Oryzias latipes: one gene and its partners. The protein of the gene in region 4 binds, or shares a complex with, the protein of the main gene of each other region. Links are inferred from orthologs where the notes say so. Each region holds a gene or a part of one and is shown on either strand. Other genes may lie near its edges. The genes, in order: sae1, death domain-associated protein 6, RANBP2-like and GRIP domain-containing protein 8, sumo1 and E3 SUMO-protein ligase PIAS2.

Region 1 (6,156 bases), on a different chromosome or scaffold from region 4:
TGGAAACTTTTTCACTTTTTTTCCGATTTCTCTCCTTTGGTAGAATCTGAGACTCTTCAAACTGCTTTGATGGAGTCAGTTCTGAAGGACGATGAAGAACATCAACATGCTTATCTGGAGGCGGGGACGCCATCAGGCGGCTTTAACTGTCAGGGAGGAGCCTCCACCACTTTGTTTGCCTGGAGGAAATGCAAAACCCAAACGGGTTTGGAATCCGTACCATCAAAACCAAACAGACAAAAGGTTTGCAGGTGACCTTTGACTGGAGAGTGGTCCAGGCAGCAGAGCAGCTGCTGAGCGGCCGGACGCTCCACCTGCGGCGGATGCCGACGCCGTTGGGAGTTTATGGCTGATGTGGAGCCGATAAGCTTCTGCGGCCGAGCGTACGGCAGCCAGACGGGGGTCGACGTTTGCTGAACATTTGAATATTTTACTGCCACACTGTGATAAGGTGTGTCTGTGTCTGTGTGTGTGTGGGGGGGGGTTTCTATTTCCGCACAACAGGAGAGTTCAGAACGCCACGTCCAAACCAAACCGAAGGTTCGTGTTAATGCCAAAAAACCAACAAGAAACCCGGAATTAAATCACATCTTTAACCTTTTCTTGTTGGTTTTTTTTCGTTCTCGCCATCTATTTGATTTTATGGGTTTTCCTTTATGATCACACTTTTTTTTCTTATTGAACTATTTCAAAAGAAATTTCAGGATATAACTCAAACCATCCAAAAAATGACGGCAGCCCCCAGGGGTTCTCTACAACGTCTAAACAAAATAATAAAGACACACATGTATACTTATTGATATGCCTAATAATAGCTGACTATGGGAAAAAAAGGGGGCTGTGATATGTAGCCAACTGAAAAACAAAACAATACAAATGTCTGGGTGGGGTCAAACGCCCCTGCGTTCGTTCACCTTCCCAGAACTCTGAATTTTAACGGCACCGCCGCCGCTGACCACATGACCAATGTCGGAGACCAGGCTCTGTTACTAAATCAAACAATATCTTAGAAATTCCAGTCCAAAACTCGTGAACGGGGCCACATTCCCACGTCACATGTGTAAAAGGAATTAAGCGAACGTAAATGAACATTTGGGCTCTGAACCGTCCCATAGGATACATCACAGCAGGGGTCTGGGACAGAACTGAAAGTGTATACGCTGGCGGTTTGGGTTCGTGGAAGAAGTACAAATACTTTCACTACGCACACGTTGCACATTTTCCACGTATGAAAATTTGGTCTTTCGTGATCCATGCGTGATAATTCATGAGTGTTTCCTGACAGATGTCCGTCAAGGGCCAAAACATAGCTTTTATATCTCGTATTTGTCGCACATATCACGTTCAAATTTTTTGTCGCACAAATGTCTGGGCACACTGAAGATTTAACGTTAGTTTTCGGGTTCTTTGCGTGGTTTATTCGTACTTCTTCCGTGGTTTTGACGTGGCTCATTAGTGTTAGTCATCTGTGAAATTTTCCCGTAAAGATCCACAACTTTTCCCCTTTTTCTACATATTTTCATGTATGACCAACTTTTATCTGTGTAATGTGCACAAAATGTGGCTGTGCGACACGACCTTTCATAGCTTTACCTACATTTTTTGTGTATTCTATCTAAATGTTCATGTAAATTATGCTATACTCTTTTTTTTGTGGTTTTAGTTTTTTTTTTAAAGATGAGCTGATCTCATTGTTGTGTAGAATGTGCTGCCTAAAGATGAAGGTGTTTATGCTAATGTGGGCTTTAAGCTCCATCTAGTGGTCAAACTTGGAATTACAATAATGGAAAATTCATTTTAAAACTGAATCTTTTTTTTTTTAGTGGGCAGTAAATCTTTAATATTAATTCAAACTCATTGGTTGGTTTTAGATAAACTTCTTTTGTTTCCACTCACAGCATCAAACTGCAGGAAGAAGTCGTCCGGTTTGTCCTCGACCCTCCCGGGGTCGGCGTGCACCTCCACCATCGGGTTGAGATTCTGGGCTCGCTCCAGCGAGGCCTGGGCTCGGTTCTGACCTCGAGCAGACACCGGAACCAAGAACTGAGCTCGACACGACTCCTCTGTCACCTAAAAGAAACAGAAAGTCAATCCACGTGGGATAAAAACTGGACTCTTGAGACCCAACCAAACCCAGTTCGATCAGTCTGGGGGTCAAAGGATAAAATAATCGATTTTATTGAGTTCAACATTTCACACGGAGCTGCTTCTTGTGGACAAATGGGGTTAAGGAAAAGCCTCCCAGCTGCTGGTGTGGTTGTGTTTACCTGTTCATGATCCAGCAGAGTCAGACCTTTAACTCCAGCCAGGATCAAGTTCTTGGCCACTTCAGCGCCGAGACCACCCAGGCCTGCCAGGAGAACCCGGGACCCCCGCAACCTGCAGAAGCCACAAACAGGACGCTGCTGAAAGGAGGTTCCAGAGGAGAAAGCCAGTCCCAAACGGGTTTAAGGTGAAAAATATGGAAGATTACTTTTGGAAAGACAAAGAAAAAGAGAGTTTTTCTTCCTCTGAGTCTGGATCGTGGAGAACTTCTGATTTCTGGAGAACATTTTTAACAAATCAAAAACATCAGGGATGCAGCGTTGCTGTTCTGGCAAAGAACAGGACCAGAACCTTTGAGCTGCAGCGTTTCAGTGGAAAGAAGGCTTAGGAGGAGATCCAGGAGGTGAAGAAAGGAGCAGGAACTTCTGCACCTCAGAGCAAAACATCACTTCATTTTTTACTTCACGTTTTATCTGAGCCATTTTAGGTAAGCAATGGTGTTCAACAGGGAGGGATCCTCTCTCCATTTTTATTCAATGTATAAATTGATGATCTTTCTACGAAGTGAAATCTGTGCAAACCTGGGTGTGTTTTTGGATGTCAAACCTTTAACCATCTTATGTACGCTGATGACCTTGTCATTTTTTGCCCTTACAGTGCGGGGAGACAAAAACTTTTAAAAGTTTGCTCTGACCACGGCAGAGACTTTGATATAAAGTACAACCCTTCTAAAAGCAGAATAATGATTGTTAAGACCAACGATGACAAAAAGGTAAACTTTCCTGTTTTACAGCTTTGTGGAAAGCCTCTGGAAGGAACCTCATATAACAAATATCTTGGACATTTTATCACTGATGATTGGACGACAGAGACATTCAGAGACTGTAAACTGTATGCTCAGTCAAATATGCTGATGAGAAAATTCAAAAAGTGTTCTCTTCAAGTGTAGCGTTCGTTGTTCAGAGCTGACTGCACTCCTCGGTGGTGGAATTATGGACGTGGGGCATTCTGTAAATCTACAGTGGCCTATAGCGATGCCTTTTGGTCTTCTGCTACGGGTGCCCAGGTGGTACACAGCGAGTCAGCTGTTTATGGACGCTCACATGACATCCCCACCTGTGAAACACCACTACATTATTAGCTGACAGCCTCATGGGGCGCCTGGACAAGTCTAAGAATGCAATTATCATGCTGATATCAGGGGAAGCTCACGCCGCTACACCTCCACCCTGGGGACAGACTGGGCACAGATTATACTCTAAATGGGTGTAAACTGTAATTTTGTTTTTTTATGTATTTATTTATTTATTTATTATTTTTGCATGTTGTTTCTGTCTTCTTTTATGGACCGCATCTGAGTGTGCAATAAAGTGAGTTATAATGATAATCACCCAGGAGGAACCGTTAGCATCCGAGGCTAGCTAAGCTAACTCACCTCTTCTGGGCATCCAGCCCCCACAGACGGATCTGGCGGTCATACTGCGCCGCTTCCTCCTCGCTGATGATCGGGTCCTCTTTTTCAATCATGTCGATTGATTTCTTCCCAAGGAAAGTCTTCCCTTTCGGAGAATATTAGCTTTTTGAAGAGGGGCCAAACCAGTTCGATTCAAACGCGGCGACGGTCCCGCTGAATGGTCGCCGGGTTATGACGTCATTTAAACAAACAACAGACTATTTTCTAAAGAATAATCACTTGTCATCTTTTTGAAATTATTTTTAAACCCTTTATTTTTTATGTCAATAATTTGTATATTATATATCATGTATATATTTGTATTAATATAACATATATGTTTGAAAAAATTCTTTTTTGTCCCCCAATTTAAATTATTTGATTTCCGAAAGCAGAGAAGTATTTAAAGTATATTTCTTTATTGCTAAATGTGCTAAACTAAACTGATCCGAGCTCCTTTGATGTTTCTGTTTGATGAAAAAACAATTTTTCGTTCTCTCTTTCTCTCTTTGTGTGCCTTTGAACACGTTGTTCTAACTCCCTCAGTATTGTCTTTAAGGAAACTCCCAATGAAAAGGGTGACATATCGTTCCTGTCGCTGTCTTGCTAAATTTGAAACAACTTGGTACCATGTTTTAGTTACATTTAGTTCACTGATCAAAACCTTTATCTAGCACAATATAAAACGTATCAATAATATTGAAAATACCAGTAATTTAGCTCAATGACTAAAACCTGAGATACATTTTATGACAAACTAACCTCTTTATTTTTGTCCAAATAAGCACTATTTGGTTAAATTGTTGTAAAGACGTGTAAACCTTACATTTGACAAATAGATTGAAAAACTGGAAAAAAGGTTAAGCGGTGCAACAAAAATGCTGAGCAATATTGAAACTATCCAGCCAGACAGTTCTGAGCCAGATTCCAGCTCAGATAACGAAAATAAAGATGTTTATGAATCTATTTGTCTGCAACTGGATTCATCTGAAATTAGCAGAGCAGGATTATCTACATAATAAATTGTTTTCCAATTTTTGTCTGCTTTCTAATCACAAAGATTTGAACAAAGAACTGCCCTTTTATGTCCTCTATCATGAGGAAAACGCTACAAAAACATGTCAAAAACACAATTTTCATCGCAGTGGGTCTTTGAGGAGAAACTTTAAGTGCTCCTTGGCATTTTAAACCACTTAATTCCGGCTTTTTAAAATTAAGTGTATGTTTTTTAAATATAATTATTTTTATTATTTGTCTACGTGTAGTCTTGAAAAGCATTAAATTCAAAAAGCTATCATTTTTGCGCTATTTTGTTTTGGTAGCTTTCATTTCAGCCTGCAAGACAAACTCCGGGTCACACGAACAGCCTGGCTTTGTCTTTCGGTTATTTTCGTGACTCGCCAACGTCACGATCTTCGACTCGGAAAGTCCGCCCCTTATTTCTTTGGAGAAGACGATCGGCCATTTTAAGATAATCAGTCGTCAATTCACGTCGCTACAGTAGGACGGAGAACGTCAGGATTCAATTTCAGCATATTTCTCTTACAACTGTTGTGGAGAGTTGCCTACTATGAACTGAGTCTCTTCCTACAACAAAACAAGTAGATCCTAGTGAAGTGACGCATAAGCCAGTAGATTCTAGTGTCGAGTTGTAATTTTTTGCACCTCAATGTAGCTAGAGGAAATGGCTGTGGAAAGCATGACTGTCCATCCAAACTCCCCAACTACCTACCACGAACACAACAGTCTCCTGACTGACGAAAGGTCGAGTAATTCTACAATCATATTTAAATGAAATTATTTATTTGTCCTGAGCTTTTACACAAAAGCCCGGGGTTTCTCTCTTTTTTTTTTGTTTTGCATTTTTTCTCAAAGGGATTAAACTGGAAAACGAGCACAGAGGTAAAGACAACGGCCATGTTGGTGCGACAACTGGAAGGCCAAAAGAACAAGGAATAACGCTATTCCCCGTATTTTATTTACATTTTCACAATCATCGACCAAACGACCGAAGCGACCTTTTTTTTTAAAGGAAAAAAGACCCAAGTCGAAAGACCAAAAACACGAGTTTTCTTCACAATTCTGTCATGACAAAGAATCGGACTTTTGCCACACGAAAATGCTAACTTACGTTAGCTTAGCCTGCGTTGTATTTTATTTTTTTTGGTAACGTTTGTGTTTGAAAAAACAAAAATGAAAACGGCGTTTTTTAAGACAATATTAGCTTGACGGCTAAAGATAGCATGCTAACCTAGCTAACAGAACAAAGGCTAAGCTAACGGCTAAAGTCGTCGAAATGAATTTTGGGTCCACTTTACGCTTGTCGTATTACCCAGTTACTACCGCTTCAATTTTAAAAGTTTCTTTAAAAAAAGCATTTTTTATTATGACGATTTTCGATTTCATTGAAGCTAATAATATCCGTTTAAATTACTTCA
Region 2 (6,234 bases), on a different chromosome or scaffold from region 4:
TCAGTTCAGAGGTGACGGCCGCCTCGTTCTGGCCTATGATGGTAAGACGGACCGTCTGGCTGACACTTTAGAGGAGGGGGCCACGCTGGACTTTGAGGCTCTGCACGAGAGAGGAAACGCGTCGCTGATCCTGCAGGAGACCAAAGTGCAGCATTCTGGGACGTATATCTGCTCAGTGTTCCTGCCGTACCTGCTGGCTCAGGTGGCCATGGAGCTGGAGGTCGTAGGTGAGAGGAAGGATCGAAAAGACATTCCTGATGGAAAAAAAAGATTCTGTTGATGGAGAACCATATGCGCTTTTTTGTTTCCATGTTTGTCTAGAACCTCCATCCCTCTCCATCCACCCGTCCCCCCTCCCCCTCGCCGTCCCGGGTCAGGTTTTGAACATCCAGTGTGAAGCCTCCGGCTTCGTCCCTCTCCCGGTAGACCTGAGCTGGGAGTTCAGAGGGGCAGATGGGAAGAGCCGGTCCCTGGGGTCGGGCAGCATGTCGGGTCACCGGCAGGCCTGGGACGGCACCTACAGCCAGAGCACCCGGCTGCAGCTGGACACGTCCAAGCTGGACCTGGGCAGAGGGGGGGAGATCAGCTGCGTCGCTGTTCACCGTGGCGGCACGCGGCGGGCCAGCGTGACCCTCAGTGTGATCGGTAACCTCACTTTTATCGTCACACGCTCTGAATTATTTGGATTCTAACATTTTTCAATAAAGAGCTGAACATATAACGTATGGAAATGTTGAATTATTTGAATGACGGGTTTGTGAGTTTACCTTCATAGCAAAAGTGTTGAAAAGTGTTTTTGGTTTTACCTGAAGGGTTCAGCTCGCCGTCCATCGAGGACTCCATGGCGATGGTGGGTGTGGCCTTGGTGCTCTACGGCCTCATTAAGTTTGCTTCATGGACTTTTACCAGCTCAGGTACCAAGACAACATCATTGTTCACTGAAATATTGAATATGTTTTAAATGTGCCGTCATATGGGAGTTTTTGGTGTAAATAGACATTCCTGACTTCTCCACTCGTTGTTTTCAGGATCTGATGAGGCTGCTAAACCCAACAAGGCAAGTTCACTCATTTATTTACGTAAATGTTAACAGTCTTTCACTCTTGTGAATAACATCTGTTATTTCTCTCACAACAGGATAAGTGATGACAAAGCAGACGTTTGTCACTAAATCATCAAGGTGTCTCATACTTCTGATGGGGTTTCATGTGCAGCTGTCCAGCTCTTTGGTGCCTTTGGTTGATTGGTTGCTGGTTTGGACCGTACCATTTTTACAGAAAATTATTTGACCACCCCTTTCTTTTAATGTTCTTATCTTGAAAGCATGACATCATAAAAACCGAAAGAACGCTTCAAGTTTCACTTTGGGGATTTCTAAACTGTGACTGGAGGCTGTGTTTTGTTTTGTTTTTTGAGAAATATGTTTCACTGAAGATGCAAAACAACTGTCCTAATTAATAAAGTAAAGCACGTTTGTAAATAGGAAGCCCAGAATATTTGTACATTGTATTACAATTAATGAATGTCTGTCTTTTTTTGTGTGTTTGTCAAAGTTCTGCTGAAATGTTGACAAAATTGTTGTAAAAATTCCAAAAATAAAAGGTTGTAAGAAGTCATTTTAATTGTGCTTTATCTGTCCATTTCTAAACGTTTATTATACTTGATGGCGTGGTTCTCCAAGTTAACTCTTCTTACATTTGGACATAATATGCATCATGATTAACCATGTTTTAACCAGCTCAGTGGCCTTGTGGTAGAGTGTCTGCCCTATGACTGGAACGTCGTAAATTCAAATCTAGGCCGAGTCATACCACAGACTCTAAAAATTGACACTCAGCATTAAGGGGGTGAATCCAATCCAGTTCCTGTGTACGGTTGTGTCTGCTGCTCACAGTCAAATGCAGAGAACAAATGTGTGACATGTAATGGTATTAACCAGGTTTAAAAATCACTTTATTATGCCCTACAAATGAGGAGTCTGAATGCAAGAAAATAATCTAGAATAGAGGAAATTTAAAGCTAAAACAACTGCAGCTTACGTAGGCAGCTAAATAATAGACATACTTTTATTACATCTTTTAGAAAAAACAGCTGCAACTTCCAGCTTTTTCTGCCACAATCATCACAAAAATGCATGTGAGATTGCGGAGGGACTGTACATCATGCAGACTATGAGTTGGATGCTGATGTGCCGCGGGATTTTTGTCAAGGATAAAGCGTGCTTTGGCTCTAAAAAGGTTGAAAAACACTGATCTAGAGCGCTCAGACACTCTGCAGTTCACTGTTTTTTCCACTAAATGTCTGTTTTGTTGGAGAGTGTACTCACAAATCGTAACGGAAGATCCGTAGAAGAAGACGTAGTGTTGTTGTCTTCCACTCTGGCCAATAGCAGACATTTTTACTGGATCTTTATTCTTTCCACCAATGAGAGGCCTTGGCATTGGTCTGAGTGTCGCGGGCACATTTTCGGTTTCTAGCAGTTCGTGGAGCTAAATTTACGAGATCTAAATTAGCCAAAAGACTTTGCTATCCTAAAAAACGCATCCATGAAGTATTAATAACTTTAATCTGTTAGTTAAATAACCAGGAAATCATGCCGTTTTTCCTATATTCCGTTTGGATTTACAAGAAAAGTTACAGTAGCTGCTCTGTTGCTAATCTTAGCTTAAAAACTGCTGTGCGTTCCTGAAGAGCAACATTTACGTTTCTATTGTTCCTGAATAAAAGGTGAGTGTTTTAATAATATGCACCCAGTCGTGTTTTCTCAGAATTATAAGCACCGTATCTGCCATGTTTTGTGATCAGTTTTTACAAAATTTCCTTTTGTTTTCACTTTAGATTAAGTTCTGTTGAATATTCGCCTTCATTTTTTTTCGTTGACCAGAAAACTACGAGAGAGACAGACTCAGGATGTAAAAGTAAACAGGAAAAAATTTTGGTAATTAAAGTTGATGTAAATCAGATAAGGCTACTAGACAGATTTTTTTTAATGTTGAATAATCAAAAGCAAAATAGACATCAGTGCTATTTGTCGTCGAGCCATTTCATTTTTGCATTCCGAGCATTTTCGTCTTAAAAATAAGTCTAATTTGTGTCGATCAGGCAACAGAAAAGTGCCATTTCTTTGTCTGCATCTCGGTATTTTCAGGTCAGCATTGCAGCCGTGTGGACGATTATTATTGCAGTGTTTTTATCTTTTTGGATCTTTAATAATCCTGTTTCACTGTGAGACGTTTTTGTCCACATTCTCACCAGATACCGTGTTGTGTATCTTTCTCTCTCAGCATCTCAGTACATCATGACCCATGCGTTGAGATTTTCATCTGTAAAATATATAACTAGCTTTGTGGCAATACAGTCCAATCCTTTAATGAATAAAATCTAGATTTTTATTATTCATTTGACATTTAGAACTATAAATTCAACAGCTTCCACGATTCAAACCTGCATTTAGGGCCTTCTAGACTGTTCTGTTCTTTATGGTTAAAACATCTCATATTCATTTATTCATACATTGTTAGAGGTGCTGGGAAAAAGGAGGGCTAGTTTTGTGCACACAACATCCCACTTATTTATTGTGGTTCAGTTAGTTTTCATTGATAGAAGCAGGCTTGTGATTGGACGTCTTGTGTTTTGGTCACTCGTGAAAAGGGCAAAAACAGTAGAGTCCACACCACGAAGAGAAACTGACAACGTTTACCAGAAACAACGTTTTTTTATTCCTGATGAATTTTATACCTTTTTACCAACATAATCATGTGTTCATATCTGTGGTTTTCATTGGACAGACAACTGTGCTTCCATTCAGGCTCTATGGGTTTGTTTATAAACATTTAAAATAAAATAAGCCAATTAGTAATAGATTTTTTTATATAAATTGATTTTTTTGGACCCCTGATAAATTATTAGTTGCTGGTTTTTGTAACAAGGACTAAACAGTAGGAAATAAGTTGTGAAAAATGTTTTTCACCACTGACCCCCCAATATTTACTAATATATGAATAGATTTTTGAAATCAATAATCCTTCCACGTCTTGCTTCTGTACCTTTTGTCACGACCAGCGTGTTTTTCCTGTTTGCAGATTCACAGCAGAATCCGTCAGGGTTTAGATGGCGGTGGCTCCTGCCTCAATGGGAGATGAGATCATAGTTCTGGATGAAGACAACGAGGACAGCCCCCAGCCCTCTTTTTCCGCTACTACTCCCTCCTCTGATCATGGCTCCAGAAACGCCTTACCGCCCAAAGGTCAGCACTTGGTGGCCGTGCACGCCGCCATGTCCCCAAGTCACCAAGTCTCAGGGAAGAAGGAAGCTCAGGGTCTTCTAGCTGAGAATCAGAAACTGTTCTCTGAGGTGAGCTGCTTCAGGTTTTTACTGAGCCCACCCTCTCTTCTGTGGTCTTCTTCAACTTCTAAAATAAAGAATATTTTAACACCCAGCAGGTTTTTGTTTGTGCTAATATTGCTGATATCTACTGTTTTTTTCCTTAATATTTTGTGATAAAATATGTTTTTATGTGCTTCGGAATAGATTGTTAGAAACATTTAAGATGTTAAATTGTTGAAAGCTTTTACAGTTCATCTGTTTGACTTTCTCTGTGAGTCACAATTGAATCTTTTTCTGTTTTGTAAAAGTCTTATAAAGGTGTAATATGAAAGGTGTAATGATCTGCATGATTCATCTTCAGTGTTTGATTCTCTCGTGTCTTTCCTGTAGTTTGTGGAGCATTGCTCCGCTCAGACCAAGGAGTGCCCGGAGGTCCTGGAATACCTGCAGCTGAAACACTCCAAGACGTGTCCAGAGTTTCTGTCCTCTGTGGAGTTCAGGAACACTCTGAAAGGATGTCTAACTCGCGCTCAGAACAACCGCTCCAAAACCTTTGTCTTCATCAATGAACTGTGCACGGTGCTCAAACAGCACAGGGATAAAAGGAGACTGACCCTCTCCAAGGCGGCGCCCTCTACCTCAACATCAGCTTCTGTTCAGTCTACCTCCGTTCCCCCTAACAGTGAGAAGAGGAGTGACGAAGAGCAACCTTCTACTTCTGGAGTGCAGGAAGACAACAAAGAGCAAGATCAAAAAGAGGAAAAAAGAGCTAAAAGGGCCTCAAGGAAACAGGTCGGTACAGACAATAAACCTAAAAAAAAAAAGACAGTCAGTGTTAATCCTGTACTTGTTTTATTCCTGAAATCAGACGATGCCAGACTAAATATCTGGAGCACATGTCTCCCTCTCAGATCGCGTACCTGGAGAATCTCCTAAAGGTTTACAACGATGAGATCTTCCGTCTGCAGCAAACTGAGCTTAGCCTGAATGACTTGGAAGCTGAAGACTCCATCTACATCCAGGAGCACAAGCTGAAGCGGAAGGTCTGATGCACATCTGATTGTGGAACAAAAGGTCAAACGGTGTTTGGTAACAGGCATTCATTTCTTTCCCAGTTGATGAAGATCTATGAAAAGCTGTGTGAACTGAAGGGCTGCAACACGTTAACGGGCCGAGCCATTGAGGAGAGGATCGAGTACAAAAGCACTCGATACCCTGAGATCAACAAGAGAGTGAGCTGACGGCTTTAAAGGTTTCCCTAAATATCTTGGAACATAACCTCCCAGTTCCTCGTTTATCTTTTCCTCCTTTGTTAGATCCAGCGCTTCATCAACAGTCCCGAGGTGCAGAAGAACCCTCCGGATTATCAAGACATCCTCCAGCAGGTTCTGCGGGCCAACGAGCGCCACAACCTGTGCTTGAGCAAGAGCCATCTGAACCAGATCGCTCAGGAGGCCTTCAGGGAGACGGGCGACCTCCTGCAGAGGCGCCGACTCAACGACATGTTCTACAACTTTGGCTCTCACCTCACAGACAACTACAAACCCAGTGAGACTCCCAGCTGAGAGAAAAGCTGCTCGCTGCTGTTTGGTTGGATCCTTCCTTAAAGAGTTTACATGAGGAACCATGCCGTCACGTTTCTTTTATTTAATGTGTTTATACTTTAATGCAGTTTGACACAGAAACCATAGAAACCTTTTGTTTTTCTATCAAGGGTGTGAATTCACTTTTAGAGAAATAATCTCTGAAGGAGCTTGGATTTTAAATTTGTTCTTAATTTTAATCTTTTACAACTGGTTTCTAAATCCATTAAAAGCTCATGACTAGATGTTTATTTTTAAACCAGCTCTGGCTAAAGTCCACTTTAGTAAATGTTTGGAGGGCTTTTCACAAAATGTTTCAAACTGA
Region 3 (5,430 bases), on a different chromosome or scaffold from region 4:
TTCAATGGTACGTCAATGTACAGACGCAATCTGAGGTCCTGCGGCGTGGCGAGGTTGACGTGGCGTGTCAACCAAAACATTGAACCCAAAAAATTCCCTTAACATCATCCATGTTTTCCATGATGTGGCAAGGCCAGAAAAACGTTGGTGGGTTCTCCGCGGCCGGGGCGTCCAGCAGTAAATTTGACATGTTTCAAAAGAGAGGCAGCAGATGCGAATTTGACGGGTGAATCGTGTCGGGTGTGAACGCAGCATCAAGCTGTAGCTTCCAAGTTTTACTTTTTTCTCCAGTTTTTCATGGGGACATGTGTGAGTCTGTGAGTGTTTGTGCACTTCACCTCAGGCAGAGACACTATAGGCTCAAAGTGAATGTCCACATTGGTAGGAGCCTCCTCTTCATCACTTCCATCGTCTGTCTTGGGTTTAGGTTCACAGGACACAGGAGGTTTGAATACCATTGCCCCAGCATTGGCCCAGGAGAAGTCAGAATCTATTTGAAAATAAAAAACAGATACATTTAATTTGGAATTAAAAAAACAAAAAAAAAGGGTTTATTTGGAAAAAATGAAAATAAAAAGTCAACCTTTGTTTCCAAACGCAAAGCCTTCTGTTTTCTTTGCCAAGTCAGCAAAAGAGAATCCAGCGAGTGAGTCAAAACCAAAGCTGGAGTCTGAAATAAGAACAAAGTCGTAACATATGAAACAGTTTTTCTCAGTTTTGTCTGTAGAAAAGTTTTCACAACTTAATAAAAAAAAAGAGGCTTTTATGATCCTTGAATGACTGATGTTTCATCAGAGCTCACCAGAAGAACATAAAACAAAAAAACAGAAAATGCAAAAAGACAATTGTATAAAAAGGAAATCTTTGATTTTATAAACTAGTGGGATTTGGCGATAAGCTGGCTAGAGGACAGAAAACAAGGAAAAGGACAGTTGATTAAAACGGACATCATTTCTGACCTTGAGCAGCTGCTGGAGAGTCAGAAACATCTGTACTAGAACCGGGTTCTGGTTCTGAGCTCTTCTTGGTGGACAGGTCGATGGGACAGCTGCTGCTTTGACTTTCTGCTGGCTGGTCTGCGGTCTGCCCCTCCACTGCGGTTCCGCTGGCGGCTGCTTCTGGACAGCTGGATGCTGGGACCGAGCTCGGGTCTTGAAGAGCTGCAGCTGGACGGCTCCAGCTTTTCTCAGCTTTCTTTGACTGACCAGCCTAAGACAAAGTAAATCAGTGTTAGTCTTCAGAGAAAAATGTTTTCCTCACGCAGCCGCATGTGTGCATTTACCAAAACGTGTAGGATTTCTTAAATATAAAAGAAAAAAAATCTAAATAACTATTGTTGGTTTTTCAGGTCACACTAGTCCCAAGAGTTAAAAATCCCTCAAGAACCAGGATCTTAAATTCAGGTTATTTGTGTGCATAAGAACACGTTTAGAACGTTCTTGAACATGATGCATTTAGCCATGGTGTTCAACACTGGACAAGTGGGGCGGGGCTTCCTTTCCTTTTTCTACTGTTCATTACCGCATGTCCGCCACCTACACATTTGGAAGAGGCTTGGTACAAATGTCATGAATCTTGCTCCATCTTTTTTCTTTCACAGCTTTATTCCGATAAAGGAAAGACTTGGTGGCATAGAATTTCATCTGAGGAACAAACTGCAATTATTCATTTCTCTTCCACGGTCAACTTTCAAACGATTTGAACTATTGTGAGTTAAAAGGGACGCCATCCATACATCACTACTAAATCGGAGTCCCTGATTTGTCAAAATGTAACTGCTTTATCTTGCAACGCCTGTTCAATGACCGCGTTTTTGAACGTGGAGACCAAAAACAGCCGTAGAAACTCGAGTGTTGGATGTGTGTGGATGTGTGGATCGTAGGTTAACAGTGATCAGTGAAAGCAGCTCCATTTGAACAGAAGGAGGTGAAAAGCTGGAGCTGCTGATAACTAAACCCATCTACAGTTTCCTCATCAGCCACTACACACACCGCTGTTTGCTTCTGTCTGTTCCTGCAGCTTCTCATGGTTCACAGGGATATTTAGTCCTTCAATGTCATTAAGAACATGAGTCAGTTTGTTAAAAAGCTCAGGTTTAGGTCTTTGGGTCGATTACCAGCTCATGCTGTGCTTTGCGGACTTCTGTTTCAAAGTCTTCCTGCTTGTCGTGGTTGGTGTCAGTGTCAGAGGTGCTCAGGCCACAGAAGAACGTGGGGGGAAGTTGCAGACTCTTTGCTTTCTCCTCCTCTTCTGGCGTTGGCCGTTTCTCCCACACGACCTCACAGGAGTCTGAAAGCAGCATCAACACCTTTAGTGCAAAATAGTGACTGGGACTAATGCTTTCCAAAGGTTCAGATTAAAACAAAAAAAAGACAAAAAAATTAATTGTCATGGATGAAGACAATCGTACCGTTATCAGAAGCTGCAGCCTGAGGAGGATCCGGGTAGAGGTTTCCATTTAACGCTTTTACTGCTGACTCAAAGTCTTCATCTGAAAATTCAAACAAATTCAATTGAATGTTAAGTAAATCATCAGCAGGGAAAAAGATCATCAGAAATCTGCACGGTATTTTCCGCAATATAAGGTGCACTTAAAAACCCAAACTTTTGGGGTTTTTTTTAAATTGACCATGCGCCTAATAATCCAGAGCATCTTTATGTACAGAGTTCCAAAATCTATCAAAATGTTGTGACTTTGGGAAGCGCTCTGCTCAGTTGACTGTTGGACCATTTCTCGCCAACACAGGAGCGGCGAGCGCATGGATGAGCGCACCGTGTGCATTTTGAGGGACACAGGTGGGTCAAAAACAGTGATTCTGGCAAGAACTCAGCGCTCCTCACACGCGTACGGCGTGTGGCGCACAGCGATCCGCTCAAGCTTTACGCAGGTTTTTCCAGATGTTTCCTGCATGTGACTCGGGTTCAGTCCTGCTGAATTAGTGTTCAATCACACTCAGCGAGGTCCTCTTCAGGCCTTCCCGGTGCCACCAGAGAAAAAGCTGAATAGAGTGCACATCTTTGTTCAATGGATGTCTGACGGCGTACAGAGTTTTACTAAGACTGGGAGGCAGTGCCTTGCATGGCTGGGCTTAAGGATCTGCTGTAACAGTTGTCTGAGCTTTCGCTAAAGTCGGCATTATTGCTGGACAGCCACCTGACAACGATGAGAGGGAACCTGGCGTGTTGACATAAGGACGTTGACAGTTGTGTGGGAGAAGATTGATTAAAATTTATTGTGAGTGTGGATTGTTAAATAGTGGAATAAAGTTCAACTAAACCTTTTTTTTTGCGCCTTATAATATGATGCTGATAATTATAACGCATTGTGATACAGCAAGTGTACAAATCCAGAGTCCTTTGTCTCACCGTCGGTCTCACTGTCGCTGGTGTAACCTGGCTCGTTCTTGTAGCAGAAAAAGGTGAGGGGCAGCAGGAGTTTCCTGGCTAAAGCCGCCTGCTCAGCAGTGGGCTCCTTGACATACAAAACCTCCACCTCAGAGTCTTCCTCCGACCGTGAGCTGCCCGCTGCTGCCTGAGCAGAACCTGGAATTAAAAAGAAACAAAAACAGCAGAGTTAAAACTCATTTATAGACAAAAGAAACCCCCTTTCTGTGCATTTGTCTTAGTATACACAAATGTTAGACACACACACACATTTTAAGCATATACTGCATGCAGATTGCTCCAGTCAGACAATATCTACCTTTGTTTTTAAAGAACTGTGCTATTCATTTCTGAACATATAATAGAGTAACAAACAAAAACATAAATCCCTAATTAGTCTTTGCTGATGTGCACATCGCTAACAGACATCAGGCCAGGTAGGAAATTACAGTCCGTGCTGTTGCTACACTTCCTGCTCCATAAATAGCCCTGTGACGTTTGTTGGGGACGTGCCGCTATAAAGGAACTGATTCTGCTCTCCTCATATTTCAGATGCTTGGCTTTCGCAACTTCTGCTCCACGTTTGGTCATCAAAACCTCCAAACCACTGAGCTTTACACAAGCCTAGAGTTTTAATAACAGTGATGAAAGTCAGGCAAGGAAAAAATCCCTGAACTTTTCTTTGAGCGATATGGCGGGCACAGAGCGAAATTTTGGAAAAATACGTGGTCTTAGATGCATTCTGGTGCATTCTGGCAACTAGTTATTCACTTCTTTATCAAGAAACTAAGACTAATTGGAGCATCATGATTTGTCATTCAATCCCCTAGTTTGACTCTCCATTAAGGACTTGCTGGTCCTAAAAAAGAATTTGGAAAATTGCTCAAAGTAACACAATCCTACAATCTACGCTTTTCCTTAAAGCTGCAAAACATACAATTGCTAAAATATAGTAACATCAAAGCCCCAAATGGCAAAAAGAACACCAGTAACTATGATATTCTATGAAAATACCTCAGTTATTTATACATTATTTCTGCTTTAGAAATGACTGATGTACAACATCCACTTGCACCGTTTTCTCAAACTATAATTACATCAAAATATGGGATCTGCTTTAAACTATAATTCTATAACATAATAAATCAATTCTTTAACACCAATACTAAGTAATCTGGGAAATATCAAAACAAACATACAAACTAAACTAAACATTGTAAACATTATTTTTTAAGGGAGTGCGGGTCCAAACCATCAAATACTTATAATTAATGTCAACTATACTGAACTAAATCATGGTAATTAGGAAATACAAATAAATTAGATAGAGAAATGTATTCAAAATAAAAACTGAAACTCAAAACTAAAATTGAAATTATTTCAAAATGTGGTTTTGAGATTATTTTACAATAAAGGTTTTGACCTACACTACCTTAAAAATCTTTTTTTTCCAGCCAAGACCACTTCAATTTGTTTTTTATCGTCTTCTCACAACTGAGGTCGTGACCACGCTCAATAATGACGATGCCTGCCATTTTTTTTAACACAAATTTGATCGAAAACTCTTCAGATGTGTTTGTGAAAGTTTAGCGTGGGTCCGCCAGTTTTGGTCTCTAAGGAAGCGAGTCACGCTGACCACGTGGTGCAGACAGAGCCAATCAGACCCGTCGACGCATCCGAAAGCAACTAAAACGTCCCGTCATTGGTCAATTAGGCCGGGAAGACGAGAGATGGCCACGACCATAGAGGAAGCGATCTGCGGAGAAATATAGAAAATAAAGCTAAAATTAGCTGATTTCAGACCATTTTTTAATCCGGAAAGCGATTTGTCCGTAGAGATCAGGTCTTTATTTCCCGGAAAGTACGTTCGGTTTGCTCAAAAACCCGGATTTCCGGGAATTCCCGGAAGACTTTCATCACTGTAATAATAATACCCAAATGTCAGGATTAGTTTTCCTAAACTTTGTCACAGAAGGGGAAAAAAAAAACAATAGTGACAAGGCCAAACAAAACAAAACGGCCTATAAAATATACATTTTTTTAACG
Region 4 (5,757 bases):
TCTTGACCATCATTTCTAGAGCAAGTAGTTAATGTGCAGTGGCTTAAATTAGGATTATATTCGTAAGGAAAACTTCGGAGGCAGACTGTTTCTTTTCTTAAATATTTTATTCAAAAAAGCAGAACACTCATCTCCAGAATTTCAAACCATCTGTATCAACACTACTGGCGACGAGCCGGCTCGCATCACAGCCTGCACCGATTGTAGGGGAGGGACACCTCTCTCATTTGAATTCAGCCATGATTATTTATCTCAGATTAGATTATCCTTTAGAGGTTTAGATTCTGAGAGATGGAAGTCTACGATCGCAGGCGAGTCGGCGGCTGCCATAGGTGAACCCTCAACCCCTAAGGGGTTTGATCAAAACCAGCTTGGGCAGCTGATGTACTTGAGGAACGACATATGGCAGAGTTTCATTCTAGGATGCGAAAAAAACAACAGAAAAGCGATTCTGGTGAACTTCCTGTGGTTGATTGAGGACAAAAAAAGTGTTTAGTTTTTTTTCTGCAGGAAAAACAAAACAACAAAAAAGGTTCTTTTGAATCCAGAATGAAACTCCTGAACATAAATTACAGACAATGCTTGAGATATTTTACAGAATATATCTTACATGAATAAACACAACATATACAAGCACAGTTCTTTTTTTTCTTGATTTTTTTTTTTTTAAAGTGTCATGTGGGAAGGTTATTTTGTAGAAATTGAGTTCTGCATAAATGATGGCACATTATCTGCAGACTGTCGAATCCTCTAACCAATCAACAGAAAAACTTAACGAAAAGTTCTTCAAAGTTCTGTGCAAAGAACGGTTCCACCTCGGTCGGTTCTGCAGCTGAAGTTTAGGGGAGATGAAGGGGAGGGGGGGCAACGGGTTCTGCTTTATTGATCCAACACTCGACTTGGCGACCCGGAGAAAAGAAGGACCCAACCTCATCTGAGAGTGGAATAGATCAACAGGAAATGGACCTGCTCCCTCGTTTAGCCCCGCCCCCCTTCATTTGGACAGACGCTTTGGTCCGTTCCAGGAAAACAACTTTTTTTGTTTTGAATAGATGGAAAGATCAGAAGCATGCCGCTCTGGTATGCTTCTGATCGGTTTCTTTTTACGGTTTCTGTAACCGCACTTACCCAGAATGCCATCTGACATATTTCCTCTATGAGACAATTTTAAAAAACATTTTGGGGAGGAAGAAGCTCCTAAAAACCATTTTCCTGCAAAAGCACATCATTCCAGCAAGGTTGATAAAATAAAAATTTAAAACACGAAAGCGAAATGGTTGCCGGTAAAAATCTTAGAGTGTCCTCCGACGGCAGAGCCACAGGTTCGAGTCCTCGGTCTGTCCGCCTCCCCGACCGCACACATGGAAGCCCTGATTGAGTCCTTTTGCTTTTTTGATTCAGATGGTTTGAAACTTAACAGAAATACATACATACATACAAAACCAAATGATAAAAAACATGAATAAAAGGGGAAAAAAAAGAAGAAAAAAAAACATCAGAAATTGTGGCTTTAATGATTCCAAAGTCCGCCGGTCTGTTCTTGATAAACTTCGATGACGTCCTCATCCTCCATGCCCAGCTATAAAAAAACAGAAGAAAACACAAACCTTAGTGACCACTAGTGCTTGGTTTTCGCTCTTGCGAGTGTCGCTTACCTCTTTTGGGGTTTGGTTATCTGCGATTCTCTGTCCCTCAAAAAGAAACCGTAGCGTGCTCGCCAGGACTCCCTGAAAGAAACGTCATCCTCTGCTGTTAGACCATTAGGAGATTTTTATTTTTCCTTCAATCAGCTCTCCTTGAACGCCGCCGCGAGGCGCTAGGAGCACGAGTAACGATTACATAGACGAGCTTTTAGGTGTAACCCTTATGCTATCTTAGATGACCCCACCCTTACATTGACGTGTTCTCCCTACCATGACAAAAGTGGAAAGATTTCATGTAATCCATGGACACCAGTGAAGATCACAAATCATTGAAGAAGAAAGGTTAAGCGCACTGTCTAGTGGGTCTAGATGACCCAACTCCTAATGTTAAAGGGCCTAGGATAGCACAAGGGTTAAAGAAAATTAAGCTTAAAATTACATTTAAAATTGGGTTATTTTTTTTTTATATTTAAAATCGTTGTGAATCAGGAGCAGACAAAATTAAACTTAGTTGGAAAAAGGTTGCAGGTATGATTCCAAAGCTACTACGGCAAGCCACAAGGCTCCCTTGCAGACAAATAGACTCGTGTAACTTTTTTTTATTTTCCTCGTCCGAGCATCCGGATCCAAACTGTGCAGCTGGATAGCTCCGATATTGCTCGCCATTTTTGTTGCACTGCTAATATTAGCTTGGGAGTCTTAGTAAGCTAGCGGGAGAGCGTGTCAAAAAAATAAATAAAAATCACTAGGAACTTTTTATTTTTTGCAATAGATCAAAAGATGATCAGAGTTATCTTTTTTTTAAATAATGGCGTGTTCTACCATAAGGAACTGCATTTGGATGGATCTGCGAAGGCTGTCATTGGAAAAGTGGCGATGCGTCTTCCTCTTCATACCTGTCTCTGGCTGTAAGACTCTTTCAGCTTCTTTAGATGTGTGGTCATTTTCACCTTGAAGTGGATTTCACTGCTGTCCTGTGGGCAGAAACGGACACACACAAAAAGGTGATGCAGCTCAAAAACAATAACAACTTCCAGCATTAAAACGAATACATCTGTAAATGATAAAGAATTGGCAGAATCATTGACCAAAAATAATAGCCTTCTATAAACAATAATAGAGACACCACCACGTGCCATAACTTTATTTGAAATGGAGTAGAATACGGTTTATTTCTAAATGCAGACAGTAGTGACAACAAAAGCAGAGACACAAAAACAACCTACCTGACCGATCACTTTTAGTTTGATGTACTCTCCATCTTTCTTGTCGCCTCCGTCCTGATTGGAAGGTTTCGTCTCCTGACAGAAACATCACAAAACATTGCTACATGATGCGACCGCTAGCACGCTTTCGAGGAAGGCCCGTCTGTTTACTCCGCGGGTTCCACGAACACAGAGAACATCCACCATAGACACGAGTGTGGGTTCGGTCCCGCCAGCACCAGTTCTGACCCCCCCCCCAAAAAAAAATCTCAAAAAACTACACAAAAGCTCACGTGGAGGGTAAAAAAAAATCGCTAAGTTCAGTCAGAGGCCTGCAGCTAGAACAGCTAACGGTTAGCATGTTGTTAGATAATCACGTACGAGGCAGCGTCCATAACAAACACATTATCGATTTCTTAGTAAAGTGTTGACAGAAAATCATTCGAACTCTTCAACGTTCTTTTTCTTACCGTGTCTGACATGTTTATCCTGACTGTGTGCGGGAGGGGGAGGGAATCCCTTCAAGGTGTAGCGTTAGCTTTTAGCGGTGGCTCTTGCTTTATGTTGTGAGGAATGCGACATCAAACGGAAGTGACGCAGGGCTGTTCAAAATAAAAGTCGCGTGAAGGAATTTGTTTTGTAGCGGATTGTCTCCATAAGAAAAGCGCGCGCGCGCACACACACACACACACTCATACAAAAACCTTGCCTTTTCCAGTATTATGAAGTCTTTACTCCTGTTCAATATTCAAATGCAATATATATGTTTAGATTAAATTTATATATTTTTAACATGGGCTTAAAAAATAGCATTTTATGATAATTTAATAAATAACTATATATATATAGAGAGAGAGAGAGAGAGAGAGAGAGAGAGAGAGAGAGAGAGAGAGAGAGAGAGAGAGAGAGAGAGAGAGAGAGGATGAAACAGTCGACAGCCGACAGTGTGCTCAGTGAATGTCTCAGGCAATGGAGAGCAGAGGATACAGTGCTGGAGGACAGATCCTCATGGGAAGACAAACCCCTGCATGGGACGTACCACCGGACCATAACTGAAGTGGCTGATATCAAGAAGTCCTACCAATGGCTAGAGAGGGCTGGCCTACAGGACAGCACTGATGCGCTCCTCCTGGCAGCTCAGGAACAAGCCCTGAGCACCAGAGCAATAGAGGCTCAGATCTACCACACCAGACAAGACCCAAGGTGTAGGCTGTGCAAATAAGCGCCTGAAACAATCCAGCACATAACTGCAGGGTGTAAGATGCTGGCAGGGAAAGCATACATGGAGCACCACAATCAAGCAGCTGGAATAATATACAGGAACATGTGTGCAGAATATGGACTGGAAACCCCAAGGTCAAAATGGGAAACACCTCCGAAGGTGGTAGAGAATGAGAGGGCAAAAATCCTGTGGGACTTCCAGATCCAGACTGATAGGATGGTAATGGCGAACCAACCAGACATTGTAGTGGTGGATAAAGAACAGAGGAAAGCCGTTGTGGTGGATGTGGCAGTGCCAAGCGATGGGAACATCAGGAAGAAGGAACATGAGAAACTGGAGAAATACCAGGGACTCAGAGAAGAACTGGAGAAAGCATGGAAAGTGAATGTGACAGTGGTGCCTGTGGTAATTGGAGCACTCGGGGCAGTAACCCCCAAGCTGGAGGAGTGGCTACAACAGATCCCTGGAAAGACCTCAGACCTCTCAGTCCAGAAAAGCGCAGTGCTAGGAACAGCTAAGATACTGCAGGACCCTCAAGCTCCCAGGCCTCTGGTAGAGGACCCGAGCTTGGAGGAGAAACCACCCGCGGAGGGTGAGAGAGGCGTTTTTTAAATGTATATATAGTTTTCGTGTTTGTTTTTATATTATTTATTTATTTTGTATTGGTGCAAAGCACGTTCGGTTGTGCTTTTGTAGGAAAAGAGCTATATAAATAAAGTTTGATTTGATGTAATCTTCAATATTCTAACTTTGAAGAATCATAGTTTATTAGAGACTTTTCACATGTTGATAATTAATATAATGTCAATTAAAATACTCTTGTTGTTTTAGATTTTTACAAGGCATTTTTAAGCCCCCCCCCCCCCCCATCACTCTGGAATGGCAGAGTTTATAGTAGACATTCTTTAAAAAAAAACAAAACAAATTTAGAAGTCGAGGATCCCACATCTATTGAAGTTTGTTTAAATGCAGTCTTAATTCCGTTGAGGTTTTGTCAAAGTAAAATAAATAAGCCAATGTTTATTAGGAAACCCACTTTAAGCTTTTACTTTTGTAGGTGCACTGAAGTACTTCCGGTTATAAGGAATTGTGTTTTCTCATGAAGCTTGATTTAACTCCAGGGTCAACGGCGAGCCGAGCCACTGTTAACCAAGGTGTAAAGTGCAACGAAATGAGAGGTGTCGATTAAATTGGCCCTTCAGTCGCGCACAGACACGGAAAGGCGTTCCTGGACGACCGTGTCGTCTTGGTCACAGACGCGGAAAGTGCGGGATAAACCGACGGCCGTCGGGCCTCGTCGTCGTGGCCCAGCGGGACTCGGGGTGAAGTTAAGAGCGGACTGCCAAACTTCTGCTTCCTCCCAGCGACTCTCCGCAGGGCCCGGGGCTCCTGTCACCGGCCGTGTGGATGAGTAGTTGGACCGCGGTGCAAACAACCCACAGGTGAGACTATATGACAGATGAATGTCGCTTGAAATGACTCGGTGGTTGGCTCTGTTGTGTTTTGTTAACGCCAGTGTTGACCCGACGAGTTTCGATGATCTCTGCGGCTAGCTGTTAGCATTAGCTTGACAACAACTTCCCTGGCCTGACAGCTACTGGTTCTACACGCAGCCGCTGCGCTTCCTCCATCGGGTTCACGCATGCTGTTGTTGTGTTTGCATGTCCAAACGAAAGCAAATCGCAAA
Region 5 (6,356 bases), on a different chromosome or scaffold from region 4:
AAAGGACCGTAAGAAGTTCTTGAAGAATGCCGAGGAGTTTACAAAGAAACACGGCGAGAAGCGGCCACTGGACTGATCACATGACGCGCTCAGAGCCCCCCCCTGCCCCGTCCCCTCCCCAACCCCCCTCCCCACCCCGGCCGGGCCTCGCCTCCCATTGAGGACTGTCTGTGGGTCAGGCAGCCTCCCCCTCGTCTTCTTTGACCTCCAGGCCATTTCCAACTTTCTGCTCTCTAAAGGCCACAAAACGGAAACGGGTGCAAGGGAACACGCCGCTCAGCTAGACGGAACCGATTCTGTTCCTCCGTTCAGAACCTTCTCTTTTCAGGTCCGCTCTTTATTTTTGATGAGTAGAAGCTTTCAGTTCCACCCCTGATCGGGCTGCTCTCATCTGACGACCAGGTGAGAGAAGCTGCTGCCGGGAGCTCCGAGGTGTTCTGAGAGACCCGCCTCGACCCAGCGGGTTTCCTTCCGAACATCCACGGCTCCTCTCAGAACACAACCTTCACTTTGTCTGCTGCATGAATCGGGTCACCTCTGCTTTTCTTTTCCTCCTTCACTCGCTTACCTACATTGTTTTGATTGGCACTTCATGTTAATCATTGGTGGGAAGAATGTGTTTGGGTCAGTCAGAACCTCCCATACATGCCCCCTGTCCCACTGCTGGGCCCGGCCACTCTAGAACACAAGCTCTCCGCCAGCCCGAGTTGGGTGGGGCCTCACTTATCCAGCTAGATCAGGAGAAGCTGGAGAAGGAGGCTCGAGCTCCTGGACGGGCCCAGAACCACGTGTCTATGGCGGCCAACGGCACATTGGTTGCCCGGACCGGATCAGGACACAGAGCGGGACTGCAGTGGCCTAAAAGCACCATGTAACAGCTGTTTAAACTGGTCCGATATCATTCATAATAAAGATGGCTAACCATTGGGCCCACTGTGTCCTGCTTCAGTTCTCAGGTGCTGTTATGGAACTGGACCGACCCGTGGGAGACCAGGGGACGGTGACAAATGTACAGTTACTAAAACTTTACAGCTAACAAATATGAACGCGGGGCTTTCTCTGCTGAAAGTCAAAAGTGATGTGATCACACACAGATCACCTGCTGGAGTAAATCCCACTTTTTCAGAAGGTCTTCTGGTTCAAAGTGAAGTCCATGCACCCTCAAACCACTGATCTAATGATCTGCAAGATCCTGCAGAGGTCAACAGGAGGAGTTCTGGTTTTCTTCTGCTTGAATCACGGTCATGTAAGGTCCACAGGAACTGTAGATGCATAAAATGTAAGGCCAGAGGTCGCCTTTGAGTAGTTCTGATCTCATAAGCGGACCTCTTTGAGGTCATGTTAGGTTGATTCAGCAGTCTGATGATGTAGTCAAGAGGAGTTCCCAGTGAAGAACAGATTCAACAGAAATTCTTCCTGAAGGGGTACCAGTGGGCTCTTTCATACAGCCTTGGTTTAGGACACAAGTTGACATCTTCCTGCCTGATTTTCAGAAATTGCAAAACTGAAAAAGATCCACTAAAGTCTCCTGCTTTAGACCCATTTAAAAAAAAGAAAAGTTATCCCCTAAAGAAATTCCAAAACAGAGGCTCTGACTGACCTCTGCTGTGTTCATTATTCAGTCAGCTGACCTGAAGACCATCCTTTTCTGACAAGAGGTCCAGCTTTTTCTGTGCTGGATCTAAAAGAACAGCGTCCTCAAAATCTCTACTGTTGCCCCGAAACCCCAGCTCATGTTTCAAAAGGATGAGGGTCCTTAAAAGGGTGTTTAAGTGTTCTCCCTCTACCTTCACATGTGGATGTTTTACTGACATATACCTGTTTTTGGTTTTTGCACCAAAAAACAGCTTAAACTTTCCACAGGTTACAATTTTATTGAGAATATTGGTTCTCATGGAAGTTGATTTGCAATGTCAGATTTTGACGTTAAAGACTCTGGTGTTTGATGAGAAGGTCTGCTCACGGTCCGCCGTGACCCCAAAGGCGTTCGTTCTGTCAGGGTTCTAGGGAGCCGTCAGCTTCTTCCACACCAAACCTTCATCCACGTCCACCTTCTTTGGTTTGCTGTCATGTTGGAACAGGAAGATGCTAGTCCCGCATTATAATCCTCCCTCCACCAAACTTGCCACAATTCTGCCAGATTTCCCATTCCCATGCCGACCACCAAACCCAGTCTAATCCATCAAATTTCTACATGGAGAGATGGGATTTGTCGTTTCAGAAAACGCATATTTACTGCTTCAGACATTAGTTCACATTTGGACAAAGCCTAGCAGCTTCAGAAAAGAAGTTTAGCCTGACTAACGGGTTAACCTGTAAGTGGTTGACCCTCGTGACCCCTAAAATGACGCTTCACTGAGTATGACCCCAGGCTGAGCTCTGCAAGTTAGATTAAACACACACAGTACTGAGCCTTTGAGGCAGCAGCGTCAGAATTTTCACATTTTTATTTATCTTTTTACCCGACCAGGGGCTGCATTCCTGGATGCTTTGAACACACCTGATCCAGGTAATCATCTGTAAGTAGGGGGTTGAAATATAGAAAACATGCAGACATACAGGCCTGGATGGAGTTCCTCAGTGTTTCATTCTAGAATCAGGTTTGCTCTGTTACTTAATAGTTTGGTAGCTTTAACATAATTTATATATTTACTCTTAATCAAATAATCGTTAGGATCATTGTTTCTTTTTTCTTTAATCCTACTTAATCAAAAATATTTTAAAGTGAAACAATTCTCTCTTTAGAACATGTTTTTTCGATTTTACCCGCCTCTGCTAAGAGGTCCCCGTTCAGAAATCAAATGACGCATGACGTCAGAAGGGCGTCGTTACGTCGTGCAGTATGTGACAGGAAGTCGAAGATGGCGGCGGGGAGCGGGGATTTTTAGGTAAGCAACAAAAAAGGAATGGAAAAAAACAAAAACAACGTCTCATGTGGACTTACAGCTCGGACGGCACCGACCAGAACAGATGGACTCAAACCGAACCAAAGCAGAAACCCCGTCTGACCCCGAGCTTAAGGCGCGAGGAGCCCAGTGAGCAGCTGTTAGCCTGCAAGCTAACACGCTAACAGCTGGGCTCCCACCGAATGTTTGGTTTTTGTATTTTATGAACTGGATGTTTACAGACTGGTTGTTTGACTGCTTAGAGCCTGGTTATAGAAGGCTTATTTCCTGTTTTTTGGTTCTTTATCTGACTATTTACCGGCTGGTTATTGTGGTTAAACCTACAACTGTTCTGACTCTGTTTACAACTTGAACACTGGGGCTTTACGGACCTTTTGGGGTGATTGTCACCCTTCAGTTGCCTTTATTCTTTAGGTTTTGTTCCGGAATTGACTTATTTTTTATTTTTATATTTGTTTTTTTGAACAGACTGGTCATTCAGCTTTTACTGACTGCTTACAGACTGGTTCAGTGATTGGTTACCTGTTCACAGGCTCTTTTGTAGTTACTTTTGCACTCTTAATTCTTTAAAGAGCTTTTTATACCCTCAGGAGTTTACTTACTTTGCTTATTGACTTGTCTAAAGCAGATTTATCTACTAGTGAAGATTTGCAGCCTGGTTATAGGGTGTTTGTTTCTTGTTTATAGAGTTGTAAGAAAATGATGACAGTTTACAGAACAGAGAGAACTGTGCTTCTAGTAGGGATGTAATCCATAGAGAAATGCTTAAAACATTGATGGAGTTAGAAATGACCAAGCTCTAAAATCTATCAGGGAGTAAAACAAAAAATCGGTTTCTTTGTCTGTTACTCTTCCTGTTGAGCTGAATACCTTCATACCTGAACAAATTGATATGACACCTTTTTTTAACCATAGGAAAAAGGTTCTAAAAGACTCAGACTCGTAGGCTTTAATGTTTAAAGCTGTCGCTTCAAAGACATTTTGTTGCTAAAAAAAATAAGAGTTTCTCTGTTAAAAGGCATTTTCATTTTTATTTTTCAATGATGACTAGATTGTATCCATTTAGATAAAAGTTAGTTGCATCTTTTGTGATCGATTCGTGTACCGTGTTATATTAGTGAATCATGTGAGACGACTCTAGCAGAAAGAGTCAAGATGTCTGGATTCTGTCGTCATGCAGTAGAAGTCTTCCAGCTGCAGCAGATGGGCTCAGCTTTAGACGCTTTACTGGCTGCTCCCTGGATATTATCACTTTTTTAACCTTTATTTTACCATCAGGTGGAGATAACCTGGTTTGCTTCTGTGCCCACATCACCAATGGTTGGTCCTATTGGTCCTGGGTGTGTTAGGGGCCGTCCTGGAGCCCACCTCAGCACCTCAGGGCTTGTGTAAGACTGTGTTGTAGTTTTTGTGTAACTGTTGTGTTTTAGCAGGAAGCACCCCAGTACTGCGGACCTGTTGGATCACGTGTGGCCCCACGCAGAGATCGCCATGAACCTGCAGCAGCCCTCTCCCCTCATTCCCCCCGTCCACCCTGATGTGGAGATGAAACCCCTCCCCTTCTACGATGTTCTGGACGTCCTCATCAAGCCCTCCAGTCTGGGTGTGTGATGTTTGCAGGGCTGACAGATGAGATCCGCTCTGATCTTTATTCCAGTCAGACTCCACAGAGACCAAACCAGGACGATGAGCTATTGGTTTCAGAAGAAAACTTAACATCAAGTTCTAAATCCCAGTAGGCAGCACCAGCCTGTCAATTCCCAGGCGTAACTCATGGGTAACACAAAAGAGTTGAACAGTTCCTGGCTGACAGCAAATGTTTCAGAGCAGTGACTTTATGTCCCACTTTGTAGAGCAGATGTTCAGTAGCAGTCGTGTCAGAGCAGAGTTTGATGTTTGGTTATATAGTCATATAAAAAAAATACCCCTTTTCTCTGTTTTCTCCATCTGGAATTCAGTAATGTTTCTTTATTCCCGATCAGTTACTTTATGGGATTTCATTTTCAATTTGGAATTATGTGGCTTTTTTTAGTCTGAAAAATCCAAAACAATCAAACGTTTCTTTGTGTTTCACCTTTGAACTTGGATCAGATGTTTTCCTATTTCAACCTTCTTAAAGCTGATTAGTTCCATATACTGTGGAACTTAAATCCTAGACTCTGTGACCCCCCCAACACACACACACACACACACACACACACACACACATACCTCGTAATGAAGTCCCTTTTCTGTTGGTGACTCCAGAGCTCTGACTTCGTCTAAAGGGTTTTGTCTTCACAGTGAATTATTTTTTAGACATCCCACCATGGCACTACCACCTCCGTGCTTCATGGTTTGATGGTGTTCAGGCGTTCGCTGACAGGGCGTGTTGTGTGTCTGCAGGAGTAAGCGCTGCACAGAGGTACCACCAGGAGAAATACTTCATCTTTGCCCTGACGCCGCAGCAGGTCCGGGAGGTTTGCATATCGCGGTGAGTCATCTTTGGAACATCGGCTACGTGACTGAGAGCCCCGTGACTGATTGTTCTTCCTCTCCTCAGGGACTTCCTACCTGGAGGAAGGAGGGACTACTTAGTTCAGATCCAGCTGAGGTAAGAAGTTTCAGGTTTTTATCATAATCTGCAGGTAAATGTTGCCATTGGGGTCCTCTGGTCCAATTCACAGTTCAGAATCAGAAATCTGCAGGATTAAGCACTCCTTTCAGCCAATCACAGCTAATCAGATCAGAAGTTCAGGGGGATCACAGCTGATTCGGAGAGGTTCTGCTGGGATCTTCACTCACCCACAGAGTCTGCAGATGGAGCAGAAACTGTAGCAGCGCTCTGTGAGGAAGAGCCTTTAGCTGAAAACGCTTTTACTTGAAGGGAGTTCTGGTTATCTGACAAGCATGTGTGGAAATGAGAGAAGACTGGAATCGCTTCGTCTAATTTCTCTGAGTTCCCAGACCAGGACTGCAGAGCCTGCGTTCGGGCTTGTGGCCTCCGCTTCGGCTGCAGCATCGTTTCCTCTGCAGATTAGTTCCATCATATGATCTCCATGGAGAAAGCCGACTTTGATGACGTGACAACCGAGCAGAGATTTCAGTTTCTGACTTCCTGCTGTGTGCTCAGGTTCTGCCTGTCGGAGACCAGCTGTCCTCAGGAGGACAACTACCCCAACGGTCTGTGCATCAAGGTCAACGGAAAGCTGTTCCCTCTGCCTGTGAGTACTCAGCCCCGCAGAACGTCAACCCTCTGAGGAACTTCACACCAACTGATCCAGCCTCTCTCAGGGTTTTGCCCCACCCCCGAAAAACGGCGTGGAGCCGAAGAGACCAGGAAGACCCCTGAACATCACGTCCCTCGTCAGACTCTCCTCCGCAGTGCCCAACCAGATCTCAGTGACATGGGCGCCGGAAATCGGAAAGGTGGAGCTCTTCTTGTAAAGTGTGATACTGTGGAAGTTTTTG

What was found.
Region 1: the proteins of sumo1 (region 4) and sae1 are in contact, whole or in part, in a crystal structure (PDB 3KYD), measured with the Homo sapiens proteins. The link is inferred for Oryzias latipes from reciprocal best matches to the Homo sapiens genes SUMO1 and SAE1. Residues at the interface, in NP_001005781.1 of Homo sapiens: Asp30, Ser31, Ser32, Glu33, Ile34, His35; in NP_005491.1 of Homo sapiens: Thr179, Lys180, Val181, Ala182, Lys183.
Region 2: the proteins of sumo1 (region 4) and death domain-associated protein 6 are in contact, whole or in part, in an NMR structure (PDB 2KQS), measured with the Homo sapiens proteins. The link is inferred for Oryzias latipes from reciprocal best matches to the Homo sapiens genes SUMO1 and DAXX. Residues at the interface, in NP_001005781.1 of Homo sapiens: Lys17, Glu18, Tyr21, Ser32, Ile34, Phe36, Lys37, Val38, Lys39, Thr41, Thr42, His43, Lys46, Leu47, Ser50, Tyr51, Arg54, Gln55; in NP_001135441.1 of Homo sapiens: Glu731, Glu732, Ile733, Ile734, Val735, Leu736, Asp738, Ser739, Asp740.
Region 3: the proteins of sumo1 (region 4) and RANBP2-like and GRIP domain-containing protein 8 are in contact, whole or in part, in a crystal structure (PDB 1Z5S), measured with the Homo sapiens proteins. The link is inferred for Oryzias latipes from reciprocal best matches to the Homo sapiens genes SUMO1 and RANBP2. Residues at the interface, in NP_001005781.1 of Homo sapiens: Asp30, Ser31, Ser32, Glu33, Ile34, His35, Phe36, Lys37, Val38, Lys39, Thr41, Thr42, His43, Lys46, Leu47, Ser50, Arg54; in NP_006258.3 of Homo sapiens: Asp2631, Val2632, Leu2633, Ile2634, Val2635, Tyr2636, Glu2637, Leu2638, Pro2654, Thr2656, Cys2659.
Region 5: the proteins of sumo1 (region 4) and E3 SUMO-protein ligase PIAS2 are in contact, whole or in part, in an NMR structure (PDB 2ASQ), measured with the Homo sapiens proteins. The link is inferred for Oryzias latipes from reciprocal best matches to the Homo sapiens genes SUMO1 and PIAS2. Residues at the interface, in NP_001005781.1 of Homo sapiens: Tyr21, Lys23, Val26, Glu33, Ile34, His35, Phe36, Lys37, Val38, Lys39, Thr42, Lys46, Leu47, Ser50, Tyr51, Gln53, Arg54; in NP_004662.2 of Homo sapiens: Lys466, Val467, Asp468, Val469, Ile470, Asp471, Leu472, Thr473, Ile474, Glu475, Asp479.

What each region holds. Positions count from the first base shown.
Region 1 is NC_019871.2:4,087,225-4,093,380, forward strand, and holds the start of sae1 (SUMO-activating enzyme subunit 1), read right to left. Parts: upstream 3,934-6,156; 5' UTR 3,793-3,933; coding exon 3,701-3,792; intron 2,380-3,700; coding exon 2,268-2,379; intron 2,071-2,267; coding exon 1,897-2,070; intron 1-1,896. Other genes in the region: zc3h4 (zinc finger CCCH domain-containing protein 4), read left to right, coding at 5,403-5,482. UniProt on the Homo sapiens protein: The heterodimer acts as an E1 ligase for SUMO1, SUMO2, SUMO3, and probably SUMO4. It mediates ATP-dependent activation of SUMO proteins followed by formation of a thioester bond between a SUMO protein and a conserved active site cysteine residue on UBA2/SAE2.
Region 2 is NC_019869.2:16,000,115-16,006,348, forward strand, and holds the start of death domain-associated protein 6, read left to right. Parts: upstream 1-2,425; 5' UTR 2,426-2,727; intron 2,728-4,082; 5' UTR 4,083-4,110; coding exon 4,111-4,353; intron 4,354-4,716; coding exon 4,717-5,118; intron 5,119-5,237; coding exon 5,238-5,369; intron 5,370-5,441; coding exon 5,442-5,558; intron 5,559-5,642; coding exon 5,643-5,874; intron 5,875-6,234. UniProt on the Homo sapiens protein: Transcription corepressor known to repress transcriptional potential of several sumoylated transcription factors. Down-regulates basal and activated transcription.
Region 3 is NC_019879.2:17,105,009-17,110,438, forward strand, and holds part of RANBP2-like and GRIP domain-containing protein 8, read right to left. Parts: intron 3,544-5,430; coding exon 3,367-3,543; intron 2,492-3,366; coding exon 2,411-2,491; intron 2,290-2,410; coding exon 2,117-2,289; intron 1,210-2,116; coding exon 960-1,209; intron 671-959; coding exon 584-670; intron 491-583; coding exon 339-490; intron 1-338. UniProt on the Homo sapiens protein: E3 SUMO-protein ligase which facilitates SUMO1 and SUMO2 conjugation by UBE2I. Involved in transport factor (Ran-GTP, karyopherin)-mediated protein import via the F-G repeat-containing domain which acts as a docking site for substrates.
Region 4 is NC_019860.2:9,898,763-9,904,519, forward strand, and holds sumo1 (small ubiquitin-related modifier 1), read right to left. Parts: upstream 3,352-5,757; 5' UTR 3,331-3,351; coding exon 3,319-3,330; intron 2,945-3,318; coding exon 2,870-2,944; intron 2,618-2,869; coding exon 2,540-2,617; intron 1,728-2,539; coding exon 1,656-1,727; intron 1,580-1,655; coding exon 1,511-1,579; 3' UTR 1,490-1,510; downstream 1-1,489. UniProt on the Homo sapiens protein: Ubiquitin-like protein that can be covalently attached to proteins as a monomer or a lysine-linked polymer.
Region 5 is NC_019867.2:30,475,602-30,481,957, forward strand, and holds the start of E3 SUMO-protein ligase PIAS2, read left to right. Parts: upstream 1-2,793; 5' UTR 2,794-2,808; coding exon 2,809-2,888; intron 2,889-4,189; exon of another isoform or gene 4,190-4,226; intron 4,227-4,336; coding exon 4,337-4,509; intron 4,510-5,291; coding exon 5,292-5,379; intron 5,380-5,448; coding exon 5,449-5,499; intron 5,500-6,018; coding exon 6,019-6,109; intron 6,110-6,179; coding exon 6,180-6,314; intron 6,315-6,356. Other genes in the region: ube2l3 (ubiquitin-conjugating enzyme E2 L3), read left to right, coding at 1-76. UniProt on the Homo sapiens protein: Functions as an E3-type small ubiquitin-like modifier (SUMO) ligase, stabilizing the interaction between UBE2I and the substrate, and as a SUMO-tethering factor.